2 linked regions of the Drosophila melanogaster genome follow. The protein of the gene in region 2 interacts with the protein of the main gene of each other region in a pairwise test. Each region holds a gene or a part of one and is shown on either strand. Other genes may lie near its edges.

Evidence for each region.
Region 1: the proteins of CG42766 (region 2) and CG4884 interact in a two-hybrid assay, tested with the Drosophila melanogaster proteins (one large-scale study listed by BioGRID).

Annotation. Positions count from the first base shown.
Region 1 is NT_033777.3:27,953,944-27,962,434, forward strand, and holds CG4884 (uncharacterized protein), read right to left. Parts: upstream 5,303-8,491; 5' UTR 5,233-5,302; coding exon of another isoform or gene 5,135-5,232; intron 5,077-5,134; coding exon of another isoform or gene 4,245-5,076; 5' UTR 4,157-4,244; coding exon 3,864-4,156; intron 3,802-3,863; coding exon 3,729-3,801; intron 3,677-3,728; coding exon 3,473-3,676; 3' UTR 3,413-3,472; downstream 1-3,412. Other genes in the region: CG4951 (uncharacterized protein), read right to left, coding at 1-3, 59-109; Nep7 (neprilysin 7), read left to right, coding at 1,078-2,223, 2,288-3,295; CG42487 (uncharacterized protein), read right to left, coding at 4,245-5,076, 5,135-5,232; CG31253 (uncharacterized protein), read right to left, coding at 5,452-6,591; CG31131 (uncharacterized protein), read right to left, coding at 8,098-8,491.
Region 2 is NC_004354.4:15,970,632-15,978,160, forward strand, and holds CG42766 (uncharacterized protein), read left to right. Parts: upstream 1-6,236; 5' UTR 6,237-6,351; coding exon 6,352-6,462; intron 6,463-6,523; coding exon 6,524-6,709; 3' UTR 6,710-6,791; coding exon of another isoform or gene 6,792-6,815; 3' UTR 6,816-7,029; downstream 7,030-7,529. Other genes in the region: Or13a (odorant receptor 13a), read left to right, coding at 3,794-4,146, 4,430-4,861, 5,414-5,513, 5,575-5,682, 5,741-5,929, 6,001-6,075.

The DNA of each region.
Region 1 (8,491 bases), on a different chromosome or scaffold from region 2:
GTACTGAAATGGGAGCTGCTTTAGGACATGGCGGATCACACATCTCAGTGGCTTTTACCTGGTATAATTGCGAAATTAGTTGGCAATCACCGATGGCGGAAAATGACATTTTTATAAAATTGCTATGCGTCCTGATGTGACCGTAGCCGCTGACAGGCACAGCAACAACAATTCGGGGCGGATCTTTGGGCACACTACGAGCGCTTTGGTGGTCTATCGATTGTATTTTTTTATCGACGTTTGGGCGGCAAAAAAGTATCAACTTAAGCTGAATTCAATTCATAAATATTCATTATCTGGAGAAAACTGCAAAATGTTTTTTTGGAACGTGACAAGAAATACTTTTACGTTTTACCACAGAGATCTCTATAGAAAGTATAAAAATAGTAATTATGCATAATGAACATATTAAGAATCCACCTGATATATGCATTTATTTATAAAAAAAAACAACAAAGATAAAAAAGTGTTAAGTGTTAATTAGGACAAAAGTTCAGAACGTGTTCACAATGTGCAATCGTGTGACACAAGTGACGATGAGATTTTGAAACCAAAACTGAGAATTGTTTTTACTCTGAATGAATGAGGGGCGCTATCAATGAATCTCCCAGAACTTACAAATCCTTATCAACAGAAGCGTGTGGCTTAGGTCAAGTCTCGCCAAGAGAACAGCCGGACTACACAGTGCAGCAAAATCGTTCCCATTCTGCGAAAGTGGTTACCTAAAAACTAAGTTGGCTAGAGAGATAGCTTGGATGCCCATGACCTCCTCCTTATTATTCAAAGCAGTGGCTTAGAATGCGCACCAAAGATGGTGAAAGTGTGCGGAACGACGTCATAGTAATATAATTCATTATAATCTCTGTTGTCCAGTGCTGCTGGTCAACATGATTGCGAAAAAAAAGCACACGCCGATGGGATCGGAGAGATGCTGCTGCTTGCTCAGTTCTCAATCGCGTTCCGGATTAGGTAGTCGAGCTTGTTGGGTTTTTCAAATAATCCGGGTCGATCGATCACTGGCCGCACTACTTTATTATATTATACAAACTGCGTGTGTGCCCTGCGAATCGGACCAATATGCTCTCAATCTCGAGCTACTTTCGACTGCCCCTATACACGCGGCTGGCAGTTTGCATCCTGATCTGCGTGATTTTGAATGACTGCGAGGCCAGGAGTATTGGCGACGAGTCCCATGAGAACGCGATTACGGATGAGACGGCCGACTACCTGCGATCCCATGGCGCCATGATGAAGTCCTATATGAACTTCAGCGTCGATCCGTGCGACGACTTCTACGAGTTCGCGTGCGGCAACTGGAAGAACGTGAAAACGCCGCGGCAATCGCCCCATAGGCGGAGCAATATTCTGGACATCAGCTACACACTGATGGACGTGACGGAGCAGCTGCTGACCAGGACAAAGTTGGCGGAGGCACTGAACGTGTCCGCCGAGCTGCTCGTTGCACAACGCTTCTACAATTCCTGCCTGGCGGCCGAGCTCTTTCCGCGGCCCGCTGCCGATCCCGCTTATCTATCGGTTATCAGGTCGCTGGGTGGTTTTCCCGCCGTCGACAGAGACGCCTGGAACGCCTCCAGCTTCAGTTGGTTCAACATGAGCGCCCATCTCAGCAACTACGGCGTTCGCAGTTTGATCCACGAAGAAATTCTGCCGCAGCATCCCTTCAATCCGTACTTCAAGCTACCCGAACTGGGCTTTGACCATGTCGTCCACACCGCTCACGTTGCCAATACGAGCTCGCGGGCCTACCAGCTCAACGAGCATCGCATGCGTGGCTACCTGAAGGAATACAATCTCACGAAGGATGAAATCTCTGCCGTGATCGAAGGCGTCTTTGCTTTTTGGAGCGAGGCGCTCAGTATTGAGGATAAGTTCGAGAGCGATAGGGATAAGTGCGATTTGCTCAGTGAGATTGAGGAGGTGCCGCGATTTGGTCAGTGGAGGAGCTACTACGAGATAGCCTGGAATGGTATAGACTTTTACAACGGCTCGTCCGGTGGCGAATTCTGCGACTTTTACTATGTGGAGCTCGACAAGGTGTGCGCCAAGCATACGGAGGCGGTGGCCAATTATCTAGCCATGCGGTTTCTCTACCGCATGGACGACAAGCTGAAGGAGCCCAAGCAGCCGGAGGACCAAAAGGTTAACTGCTTGATGATCGTCCAGATGACGCTGCCAAATCTGTTCAACAGGCTCTACATGGCGGTGAGTTGGATGCTGTGAATATGTGAAGCTTAGCTTTTCAATTGATATCAACTAACTTTCATAGGAGCACTTCACCGACGAGAAGCACTCGGAGATCTCTGACATGGTGACCGAAATGCGAAAGGCCCAGCGACAGATCCTCGAGAGTGTGGAGTGGTTGGACGCGGAGACGCGAGCAGAGGCTCTGAGCAAGGAGGCCGGCATCACGCCAGTAATCGGCAGTTACAAAAACGAAGAGCTGTCGGACACTCTAATCCGCGAGATCAACAATCTGACCATTGTTGAAGGCAGCTATGCCCAGAGTTTGATCAATCTGCGAGTATTGGGCACCTATCTTCATCGCTACGCTGGCTTACATGCGGACGAGCTGCCCAAGGACACAAAGCCACTGACACTGCTCGTGGGAATGCAGGTGAACGCCTTCTACTACAATCTGGATAACTCGGTGTACGTGATGGCGGGAGTACTGCATCCGCCTGCGTACCACCGTTCATGGCCCGATTCCTTGAAGTTCGGCACCATTGGCTATCTGATAGGTCACGAGTTGACCCACGGCTTCGATACGGAGGGCTCCAGTTTCGACAGCGCCGGCGAAGTACGCGACTGGTGGTCCAGGAAGTCGGAGGCGGTATTCCAGGAACGGGCGCAGTGCTATGTGGATTACTTCAACCAATACTTGATACCGGAAATCAACCAGACAATTCGCGGCAATGAGACAAGGGACGAGAACATAGCGGACGCCGGTGGCTTGAGGGCCGCACTCACCGGCTATCGAAACCACATGAAGCAGCTGCAACGAAGTGGAGCGGATGGGGAGACGTTGGCTCACAAAAACGAGCAGATGCCCGGCCTCGACCTGTCGCCGGAGCAGCTCTTCTTCGTGGGATTCGCGCAGCTGTGGTGCGCCGACTACGAGCCGGAGCACTACTGGGAGGAGCTCACTGGCGCACATACCGTCGATAAGTATCGGGTGCTGGGTGCCGTTTCCAACAACGACGATTTTGCTGAGGTCTACAAGTGCCCACTGGGCAGTCCAATGCATCCGAAGGCTGAGAGTTGTCGGATGTGGTGACCATAAGTCGTATATAAAGGAAAAGATGTAAAATACTCTAGATGTTCAACTACAAAATAAATGAAAACAGGAAAAATAATGCAAATCGACGATATAGTCTTACACATTTCTGCAATTGAGTTAACTCACTCGACTTTACCCATTTACTCTTAATAGTCTCTTTATTTCTAATTGGTTTTAATGAGCAACGTGCTCTGAGGATTTGAAGGCGTTGGGTCCCCGGTAATTCTCGACCAGCAGGGATTTGTAGCGCCTCAGGTGGACGCTGAGTCCTTCCTCGCGCTCGCTGACGGAGAGGATTGAGACGCGGGCCACGACCAGATGGGAAGGATTCGATTGACTAAAGCCTCGGATTACGTCGATTTCATCGCCGACTTCCAGCTGTAAATGGTAAATCATAAGATTGAATTCGATCTATATATGGACTCCATACCTGGGCACTCTTTTTGGGCAGCTTCTTTCCATTGACGCGTATCTTGCTCTCGTAGAAATTCAGTTCCACTTTGCTGTGGGAGGTAAGACATCATGGTTATTGGGGGCATTTAGAAAACCTTCGGCTGTTTCTTACTTTCTCGCCATGCCCAGGCCAGCTTTCAGTAGGAGATCGGCGCGCAGTGAGTTCACCTTGGTCTTGACCACCTTGGAGTCCCTTTCGTCCTTGAAATCCTCATCATCCTCGTCGTCGCTGTCCAAGTCATCCGATGCTCGTGAGGATTTCTTGTCGTACTTCCACGCTGAAGCACTGGTGTGTACAGGAGCCTGCAGCTCTAAGGTGGTTGAGAGTTTAGGCAGACTTTTAGATGGAAATGGCGTCCTTAGGGATCTTCCTAGTCGGGCTATTTGACGAAAAGTCCGGAGCATTTTGTGTGGGCGCCTTAACAATTACGATAACAAACTGAATAACATAACCTAAAAACTACAGCTGTTGCGGTGGCGTTGCCAACCATCTCTAGGACTTGTTTGCCTTTTTGTTTCGTTTCTTTTTGGGTTTCTTGTCGGGATTAGGACGCACTTGGTAGACAGTAAGGGGGCGATAGTTGTGCAGATCTGCGGGCAGGAAATCATCATCATCATGTGGCTCCACCTCCATGGGCTCTGGGCTGGGGGACTTCTCTTTTTTAACAGGGTTATTTTTGACTTCTACTACCGGCTTTTTACTTTTGGCTTTCATTGCCAAATTACTGAGGGCATTGCCCAGTTTTTGGGTCTCCACCTGGACATCCACGCGGTCCAACTTTACTGAGGGTTCGTCCGAGAAGCAGGATATGAAATCATCACCCCAATCCTTCTTTTCAGCCACTGGGAGCTGCGGTTTTTTTTCCTCTTCGGCTGGTTTGATTATTTCGGGTTTCTTCTTGGGTTTTTTGTGCGTTTTCGGGGCTATCTTCTTAGCAGGTGTAGGTGTTCTCTTTCGGGCAGTAATCCACTGTTCCAAGTCCTCGCTTATTGCTTTCAAATCTAATGGCAAGGCCAAGGAAAGCGCTCTAACGCCAAAGATTTCCTGGGTAAGCTCCTCCAGTTTGGGCTGCGCGTAAATGGGAGCCGTGGGCATCTTGACAGATGCACTGGTGGCCATTAGACGGACGAGGTGAGTTGGTCGCAGGCTCAAGGAAACCAATAGGCAGGAGAAACGCCGCGAGTTTATGGCGCGTAGGGAGCTCTCCAGGCCGAGATGTATTCCGTATCGAGTGGCAAACGATTTGGTCTGCCCGTCGCTGCTTTTAATTGCATTCTGAAGGATCTGACGGAACTGCTGCACTTCCTCCTCCGATAAAAGAGGGCTAAAGTCAAAAGAAACAACCTGTTGATTGGGTTTTTATTGGTTTCTGCCCGCCTCACCTGTGCTGTTTGTAAGGATTGGCTAGAATATTGCGCAGTTTGGGCAGCAATTTCTTTTTGCCCTTAGCTTCTTTCTGTTTTATGCTGGACAAACTCATGTTTACGATATAAACTAATAAAAAATAAAAAATTTCTGCTGAAAAATCAAACAACAATGTGTTTGGCTTTTGGCCAGTGTGACCGCGTTTCTTAGTTTAAAATAAGCCATAGCTTAAATCGCGTTGCCAATTGCTTTACGTTTTTATTTAAATTAAAACTCTTAATTTTTGCTTCTAAAAATTTTTAATCAAACTCTTAATTTTTATTTGCAATCATTTTCAGTACCAGTAAAGTTCCGGCTCCGTGTCCGAAGAGTACTTCAATTTTCTCGGTCTCTGGCGAACGTAATCTTCGACGAAATTCAATTGCCTTGGTGTTGTGGTTTCTACTTGAGTTTCTACTATTTCCGTTGTTGTTAAATTAAATCCAAATGGTGTTGATAATGTAGAACTTTCCTCTTCGGTGCTGTCAATCACTGCATCCAGATACGACGTGGTAGTTTCCACGCCCGGAGTCGTGGCAATGATTTCCAGCAAGGATGTAGTAGATTCCTGGGTTTCTGTGGTTGAAAACAATTCTTCTGTTGAAGTTTCTGCTGTTTCAGTTGTAGTTTGATCTGTGGATAATGCAAACGTGGATTCGTTCGGTTCTGTGGTAGAATCAGCAGATTCAGTCGTTGATTCCGGCAATTCTGTAGTGCTTGGATTGATTTCTATTTCTGTGGTAGTTTTTATTAGTTCTTTCTCTGAAAATTCAGAACTTAAAGTAGTCGTTGATTCCGGAAATTCCGTAGTACTTGGCATAAACTCTGTTGTTGTTGATTCCTGCAATCCTGTAGAGCTCTGAATGGTTTCTGTAGTAGTTTCTTGCCATCCTGTAGATAAATCTGGATAAATTAACGTTGATTCAGCATATTCAGTACTGTCTGAATTGCTTTCTGTCGTTGAATCTGCAGCTTCTGGACTCGAAGTTGTTGTGGAATATAGGGCTACTGATTCAGTGGCATCTATAGCATCTGTGCTGGTGACTTCCGGCCAAGCTGTTGTCGTGGAATATAAAGTATCCGTGGTTGAAGTTACATAACTAGATTCGGTGGTTGAATAATCCACCGCCGTAGTTGTAGATTCCTCAGTGGCACTTTTCTCCGTTGTAGTAGATACTTCCCCAGTGAAGTAGCCAGTAGTCTCCTGCGGATTGGTGGCCACCGTAGTTGTGTCCCAAAAATCTCCATCGAACGGATTGGTAAAATTTACGATGCGCGGCTTGTAGGGTGTGTAGATTTTGGCTTTGTAAGGCTTGTGGTTCTTGATGTATTCCTTGGCTATGCTAATCCACTCCTCGCGACCGAGAATATCGTTTAAATTTCGGCTTGAGGCCACAAAATGCGCCATTAAAAGAAGCAAACAGAATTTTCTCATTATGATGCTGATACCTTCGGTTGACACTTTCGACTAATTACCTTTGGCGACTGCAGTGCAATATAAACGCAAGGGTCTACCTACGTTTCAACGCGTATTTTAGCTACCTGCTTTCTTGGCAAAAACGTTAATTAGCCCTAATGAACTGGAAAATTCAAATGTTGCCGCCAGGGCTGCAAGCGCTTACTTTATTTGTGCTGGCAATGCCGTAGGTAATGCCGGCCGCTTAACAGCTGAGTGTTTTTCGGGGAAGAAGAAGAACAGCGTGTTTGCAGTCCGCGTTTTTGTGTAAAAATTGTGAATAATTATATTATTTGCAGTTTTCTTACGTTTTAAAGAAGAATTTAGCAATCAGAAGGTCCTGTAACAATTGGTAAGTCGGTAAAAACAACAAAAAACAAGAGTAGCATAAGTTTCGAGTCACCGTGAAAGTTTTAAATTTTCTAAGACGCCACCGGCAAATTTTGAATGAAAGTATTGATATATATATTTATTTTAGGAAAAACCATGGATTCCGATTTGTACGATGAGTTTGGCAACTATATTGGCCCCGATTTAGACAGCGACGAGGAAGATGAGCAAAGTATTTATGGGCAACCCGATGTGCAGGATGACCCAGAGGTATAAACGTGCAAAAAATAAAATAAAACTTATAATTAATTTATGGTGTTTCATTTAAAGGACGCCATGGACGAGGACGAGGTGGAGCCACAGGAGGACGAGGACAAGGAGGTGACCGCCGTGGTTTTGCACGAGGACAAACGCTACTATCCGTCAGCAGTTGAGGTCTACGGCCCGGATGTGGAGACCATTGTCCAGGAGGAGGACGCCCAGCCGCTGGACAAGCCGCTTATAGAGCCAGTGAAGAAGCTCAAGTTCCAGATCAAGGAGCACGTGGGCATCTTGACAGATGCACTGGTGGCCATTAGACGGACGAGGTGAGTTGGTCGCAGGCTCAAGGAAACCAATAGGCAGGAGAAACGCCGCGAGTTTATGGCGCGTAGGGAGCTCTCCAGGCCGAGATGTATTCCGTATCGAGTGGCAAACGATTTGGTCTGCCCGTCGCTGCTTTTAATTGCATTCTGAAGGATCTGACGGAACTGCTGCACTTCCTCCTCCGATAAAAGAGGGCTAAAGTCAAAAGAAACAACCTGTTGATTGGGTTTTTATTGGTTTCTGCCCGCCTCACCTGTGCTGTTTGTAAGGATTGGCTAGAATATTGCGCAGTTTGGGCAGCAATTTCTTTTTGCCCTTAGCTTCTTTCTGTTTTATGCTGGACAAACTCATGTTTACGATATAAACTAATAAAAAATAAAAAATTTCTGCTGAAAAATCAAACAACAATGTGTTTGGCTTTTGGCCAGTGTGACCGCGTTTCTTAGTTTAAAATAAGCCATAGCTTAAATCGCGTTGCCAATTGCTTTACGTTTTTATTTAAATTAAAACTCTTAATTTTTGCTTCTAAAAATTTTTAATCAAACTCTTAATTTTTATTTGCAATCATTTTCAGTACCAGTAAAGTTCCGGCTCCGTGTCCGAAGAGTACTTCAATTTTCTCGGTCTCTGGCGAACGTAATCTTCGACGAAATTCAATTGCCTTGGTGTTGTGGTTTCTACTTGAGTTTCTACTATTTCCGTTGTTGTTAAATTAAATCCAAATGGTGTTGATAATGTAGAACTTTCCTCTTCGGTGCTGTCAATCACTGCATCCAGATACGACGTGGTAGTTTCCACGCCCGGAGTCGTGGCAATGATTTCCAGCAAGGATGTAGTAGATTCCTGGGTTTCTGTGGTTGAAAACAATTCTTCTGTTGAAGTTTCTGCTGTTTCAGTTGTAGTTTGATCTGTGGATAATGCAAACGTGGATTCGTTCGGTTCTGTGGTAGAATCAGCAGATTCA
Region 2 (7,529 bases):
TATCTGACTCACTAGCATTGGGCAGCATTTTGTAGTTTTACACACGCAGAAAAGATTTACTCATACAAAGCCGCGTTTTGTAAATGATTTCAACTGTTGTGAATTCTGAATATCCTGACTATTTATTGAACAGGCAACAAGTCAAGCCTTGATTGATTATATCAAATCGTAGGTCATGGCTTCTAATCTGGTGCAGAGCCATAAGTTTGCCACTCGAAGAAAAATTCAAGGATTCCGGAAACTAATCAAATACCAAATGTTTGTTAACAGGATATGAAAAAATAATGTTTTCCCTAGCATAACCAGTTTTAAAAGATTTTTTTCAGTCCGTTAAATGTATGCAAAGAAAACTGTATTGTATTCAAACCATTCATCTTTAGTTTCCCTCACAAGTTCATTCCTTTTTCTTCGTGTGTATAGCAGCATTGTTATTTGACCTAATCTGTGTCTTTGCCCCATTGTTTTGCCGCGTTTTGATTTGTGCCCCCAATAAGTCCATCTGGAGTCAATGTGCTACCAAACGATAGGGAAGTTCGAGCTTCGAAGGATGCGTGGTGGTAGGTAGGGCGATCTAATCGCGGAGCTCTTCTCCTTTATGGATCAGCAAACATTTGGGCGTTGTCACACTCGCGAATGCGGAATTCCGACACCATTTCTTTGATTGATAAACAAATTGCCCGCTGCTTGTTTACTTTACTGCCAGCGCAGATTTCTCACGAGTTAACCAACCATTAAACGAGAACTCACAAACTCAAGGACTCAGCAGGGGGAATCATCCTGGAATCACTTTGCCATCATCTCAAATCCGGTTACGTGTTTCGTTTGGCTGGCATGGGATTATGCGGTGGATTTAATTGTTTAAAAACAATCGAAAGCACTGGGGCACGTTGAGATTTGAATTGCCGTGCACAACTGCGGGTGGTTAGATGGGTCAATGGCAACGCATGCCCAGACCCCCAAATAATTGTGAACAAATGTGTCTTCAGTTGGCGTTGGTGGAGGAGCGCACCATTGCAAGCGACGCTGAAAAAGGCGATGATGTCCTGACACACTTCGAATTGCCAGAGTCCTTTTGCCAAAAAAAAAAAAAAAAAAAAAATTCCAAATTCCTTCGCATGCCAATGGAGCGGCATGGACAGAGAAGGGATGACGAGATGGAGAGACGGTGAGACGTCGAGATGGAGAGAGGATATCCAGATATGCATTGGAATACAAAGTGTGGGATAAAAGCATTTCTGTATCGCTATTATTCATTGGTCATGCGCAGTCAGCCGCGCCTCATTTCCGCTCGAGAGTCGGGAGTTGGACCATATTCGCAATAATAGTAAGTATGTTGGGCATGTGGTGTGTGTTTTGGACCAAGTATACATTTTCCCCTCCCCCGTATAATTACGGCCATAAAGCAATCCAACTATCCAGCTAGCCAAACTATTTCAGTTCCATCTGCCAGAGTTTGGAATCCTTGAGGCCATGTACATATACCGAAATATACTATATATATATATATATATGCATGGGATGTGTAGCGATTTTTGATAGATATAAAATACATAAACGTAATTGCGGTACTCACCAATGGAAATTCGGGAAATTCGAAAAAAATCAAAACCAGAATCCATTGAAACAGTAGTTGGAGAGTAGTTATGAATTATTTGTTATCCGTTTTGCGTTTAAGTTTGCTTTTAAGTTTACATTGTACTGCTTTATGAACACACTCAGTTTGTTATTTTGGCCAAACAGTAAAAAAAATATGCAAAAAATTTTCATAAAATATGTATTTTATGATCTTTTCATCCTTACGCCATCAGCATATACATATACACGCATATATGTGCACATATATAGACATATATATATATTTATTCTATTTTTGTATTTTCCATATTTGATTTGAATGTGCTGATTTAGTAGCCGATTTTAGAGCTGCGTTGCGTTGCGTTTCGTTACGTTACTATATCAAACATTTGATTCTGAGTAGTTATTTGTTGGGTTTTCACATTTTGCCCACCCGTTCGGCATTTCGTTTTTCCTCTTTTCTTTTACTTTTTTCCATATATATATATATATACATATATATATACGCGTATGTATATATATATATTCTAAGTTCACGGTGTGTTGGGATTTGAAAACGAATTTCTTTGTTAATATATATATATATATATATATATATGTATATACTTTTGCCTGGGCTGGTTGTTCAGTTGTGTTTCTGGGGTATTTGTTGGATCTTTTTGGGCGCCGACTCGGGGATTATTCCTCAATAAACTATTGCTCCGCTGGCTGCGAACTATACGGCTATTTCCTGCATCTGCACTCTTTTCTGCTGCTTTCGTATTTCGTTTTGTTTGTTTGTTTGTTTTTTTTTTTTTTTGGTTTTTGTATGTTTTTTGTGTTTTTTGTATTAATTTATTTTATTTTTTTATTGCTGCTGCTGCTTCTTCTATTAAAAACTATCGCCGTGTCTCGTGCCTCGCTAACCGCTTTCCGCAATTGCAAACAACGTTCTAAAGCTCTCGAACACGTCTGCAGGATTTTGGCCAGGCGAAAAACGATTGCCTCCAACCGGAGGCAAACCAGGCAGCCAACCCAGTCGACCAGCCATTCTTCAGTCAGCCAAATACGACGCAGTCGCAGAGCACCGGAATCTCAACTGGGAGATTCCCAATCCCGGCCATCCCATCCCATACCAATATATCTCAAACCAAGCCCAGCCGAGTGGCCACATCTCTCGCTCTCCGCTTCTATTGTCACGTCACAATTCAGCATCTTGGCTCTCTCGGGCTGTGTGGGCCACATCCTTTTGGTCCTCGGATGGATGTTGGTTGGTGTTCGGCACTCAGCCGCTGGCTCTCTCGCCGAAAGTCGGTAAAAAAAAAATCCACTCCTTGGCCCCAACGAGTCTTACAATCCGGGTACGTCTGTTTATGTCCGTTATGTGGAGCAAAAGGGTATATTGTATTCGTGCAAAGGTGCGTAATTGTAAAAGGAAGTGTAGTATACACCTACGCCTCTACATACGTTTCCATCTAGCCGTGTCTGTCTGTCTCTCTGTATCTCTGTCTGGCTGCCTGTCTATCTGGCCGTCGAGATCTTGGCCAGAACAATGGACAGAGAACTGGGTCCACACTGTTCCACGCCACAGATTGGCCACGCCCCCGTCGTCTAATTGAATGAAGCTATATCCTTCTTACGCCCAGCTAGCAGTGACCTGATTTAAATTAACTGGTTTCGAAATGAAGTTTGGGCGAATGAAAGCCTAAAAATAAATACAGACCGCATTGTTAGCCAACATACATAAATGGAAAATCATGGAAAATTACAATGAAATAATATGTATAAGAAATTGAAAAAAAAATATATATATATCTAAAAGTGTTACGGATTTCAGGCGCAGGTTGCATGTTTATACTTTTAGTTTTGCTTTTTAATTTGAATATATTAAATTGAAAACAAAATTGAAATATGTGCACCTGTTTACCTGTTTATTTTTCGAGAGCAAAACGCACTTTGTTCTTCAAAATAAAGCAAAATTAAAATACACACAAGTAGTATAGTTTAATGGATTTCACAGGCACACACCTCCTTGGAAAATGCGTTTGATCAAAATTTCATATTCGGCACTTAATGAGGTGGTAAGTATATGCCTTGTGTGCAAACGCTTTCTAAAATATTTACTGTGCAATTAGGGTAAATGATTAAAAAAGTGGTAATTTTAGGGCGCAGTTGGTAAGCTATAAATGAAAGAAATGCCTTAAGATGTACCTAGTGCTGTGGCATTTATCAGATAGTCATGTTCTATTCGTATCCCTACAAAGCACTTAGCTTTCCCATTCAGTGCGTTTGGCTGAAACTGAATGGTTCTTGGCCATTAACCGAATCATCGAGGCCATGGAGGAGCCAATCCTTATTGGCCACCGCCTACATCGTGTGGGCGTGGTACGTCATTGCATCTGTGGGCATAACAATCAGCTATCAGACGGCCTTTTTGCTGAACAACCTTTCGGACATTATTATCACCACGGAAAATTGTTGCACCACCTTTATGGGTGTCCTGAACTTTGTCCGACTCATCCATCTTCGCCTCAATCAGAGGAAATTCCGCCAGCTTATTGAGAACTTTTCCTACGAAATTTGGATACCTAAGTGAGTCGATTCATTAGGGTTATTATAAGCGATGTTAAATGATCATCGCATTAAACTGCAGAGCATTGAAAACTATAGAGGTTTGCAATCTTACTTGAGTAAATGCGCAGAAAAGTGTGCTACATTGTTGTGTGCAAAAGAGCAAACTTTGCTTTCTAAGCATGCTTTTGGACACTTAAAGTGGTTTTGAGATAATATAGACTTTTGAGTAACTATACCCATCTTCAAACTGTATTTGTAAGAAAATCTTTATTTACATATATAAATATATGATGGGTTCCAGTTCTTCCAAAAACAATGTTGCCGCCGAGTGTCGCAGACGCATGGTTACCTTCAGCATAATGACATCCTTGCTAGCGTGCCTGATCATAATGTATTGTGTCCTGCCGCTGGTGGAGATCTTCTTTGGACCCGCCTTCGATGCACAGAACAAGCCGTTTCCCTACAAGATGATCTTTCCGTACGATGCCCAGAGCAGTTGGATCCGATATGTGATGACCTACATCTTCACCTCCTACGCGGGAATCTGTGTGGTCACCACCTTGTTTGCAGAGGACACCATTCTTGGCTTCTTCATAACCTACACTTGTGGCCAATTTCATTTGCTACACCAACGAATCGCAGGTTTATTTGCGGGTTCCAATGCGGAATTGGCCGAGAGCATTCAGCTGGAGCGACTCAAACGTATTGTGGAAAAACACAACAATATTATCAGGTTGGTATCGTGCCAATATTCAATTACAATGATTCTATTACAATGATCCTATTACAATGATTCTATTACAATGATTCTATTACAACGATTATATTACAAATATTCTATCACAACGATACTATTACAATGATTCTATTACAATGATTCTATTACAACGATACTGTTACAATGATTCTTTTACAACGATTCTATTACAATGATTCTATTACAATAATTCTATTACAACGATTTTATTACAATAATTCTATTACAACGATTTTATTACAATGATTCATTTCAATGATTCTTTTACAACGATTTTATTACAATGATTCTATTACAATGATTCATTACAATGATTCTATTACAACGATTCTATTACAATGATTCTATTACAACGATTTTATTACAATGATTCATTTCAATGATTCTATTACAACGATTTTATTACAATGATTTTATTACAATGATTTTATTACAACGATTCTATTACAACGATTCTATTACAATGATTCTATTACAACGACTCTATTACAATGATTCCATTACATGTTACTTTGATTTTGCCAATAGTTTTGCTAAGCGCCTCGAGGACTTTTTCAACCCAATTCTACTGGCCAATCTAATGATTTCCTCCGTACTTATTTGCATGGTTGGCTTTCAAATAGTTACTGTAAGCATTGGCAGTAAATATTTTAATATAATGACTAGCTTTTCTTTCTAAACTTCATAAGGGAAAAAATATGTTCATTGGAGACTATGTGAAGTTCATAATTTACATATCCTCGGCCCTTTCACAATTATACGTTCTTTGCGAGAATGGCGACGCATTGATAAAACAGGCAAGAATGTAGATTGTTTTTTTTTTTAATATATTAATAAACTATTTCCGATAAACAGTCTACCTTAACAGCGCAAATTCTGTATGAATGCCAGTGGGAAGGATCCGATCGCATTGAGATACAATCGTTCACGCCAACAACCAAGCGAATCCGAAACCAGATTTGGTTTATGATCCTCTGCAGTCAACAGCCTGTAAGGATTACGGCTTTCAAGTTCTCAACGTTGTCCTTGCAGAGTTTTACGGCCGTATGTCTACAAAAAAAAAATATATATATATATATATATATCAATTGCACAATTAAACTCATCTCTTTCAGATTCTAAGTACCTCGATAAGTTACTTTACATTATTGCGGTCAGTTTACTTCGACGACGAAAAGAAACTAGATTAAATAAAAACGTGGAGCTCTGTTTAAGGTTATGTTGCTTTCTGCTGATTTTCAAAATTCGAAACTTTGACAAATTTTGAAGCTGGGATTGGAGCTCCTAGAGGTTATCCCTCTCCTTGCACAGCCAGCGCTCCTAGTTGGCCATGATTTAATGCCCTAAATCTGGTTCGTTTTTCATTCGGTACCTTTCAGTCAGTACGGAACAAATATTCATACAATCTTTTCGAGATCTTTTATAAGTTTTGTAAATTCATTTGTACTAACTTACATCATTTCGCCATGCCTTCCGTCGAGTGGGTCTGTGGTTTGCTCTACTACGTTATGCGCACCTACATAAAGGTATTCGTATCCAGTTGCGAAGCACACTTCCCTATCGATATCCTTGACAAGGTGAGTGAGAAATGGATGGAGCAGCATGTGATGGACTCAATACACTATCCCAAACTTGCAGATTGTGTATTTGATAGATTTCGCCGAAGTTTCCATGAAGATAATGCGCCGGCCAAGAAATTACACGAATCCGACTGAGCGCCAAGCGAGACGCCTTCAATTCTACAATTTCCTTTTAAAGTTAAGATTTTTGGCACAGGTGATCTACACCTTGGTAGCCGTGGTAATTGGGACACTTAAAACATAAAAATTTATTTAATATGTTCCAAAAAATTCTATACATACTCATTGAAATATTTTTTTTTTTTTTTTTTTTTGACCATTCTAAGCTTTCTGTAATCCATGTAAAATAGCGTACAAAACGGGACAGGGCTGCGACCCGCGCTGATTGTTTGGACTGCGATGTGCTGTATTACTTGGCTGCCGTGGCTCCTTGAGGGACTGATCAACTATTTGTTTAAATGATGGACGCCATGGCGTTAGACATATATTTTTCAAAATTTTCCCTAACATGTAGCTATTCCTGAAATGTAGCAAATAAAGCACTGTTCTGCTTCGTACATTCTCAATTCTTCACGATGAAGGTGTGTGAACTTTTTGCGACGACTGTATACTCTCTTCAGCATTCTAACTCGATTTCGTGCATTTATTTTGCAAAAAATGCCAAAATTTGGCCAAAAATTAATTTCACAAAGCCTGTCAAAAAGTGATATGGGTTCTTAGTATTGGTAATTCGTATTAAAAAATAACTGTACTTCTTTTGGCCATTATAGCCATTTTTAGTCAAGTTATAACCAAAAAACCCATCTTAAATATTGCATTTTTTGCCAAAAATCAAAAATGGGCTAAAAATTTAAATTTTCAAAATTTATTAAAAAGAGATACAGAGCTGCACAAAAACTTAATTCAATTTGACTAAAAACTGCTAAAAACGATATACAATTTATTTGATTCTTAAGAATTCGCGACTATTCCCAAAAGTAGATTTAAAAGGCCAGGCAAATATTTTCTTATTTTTAATGAATTTCTCAGACAAACATAAGATCACAAATAGTAACTATTAATAT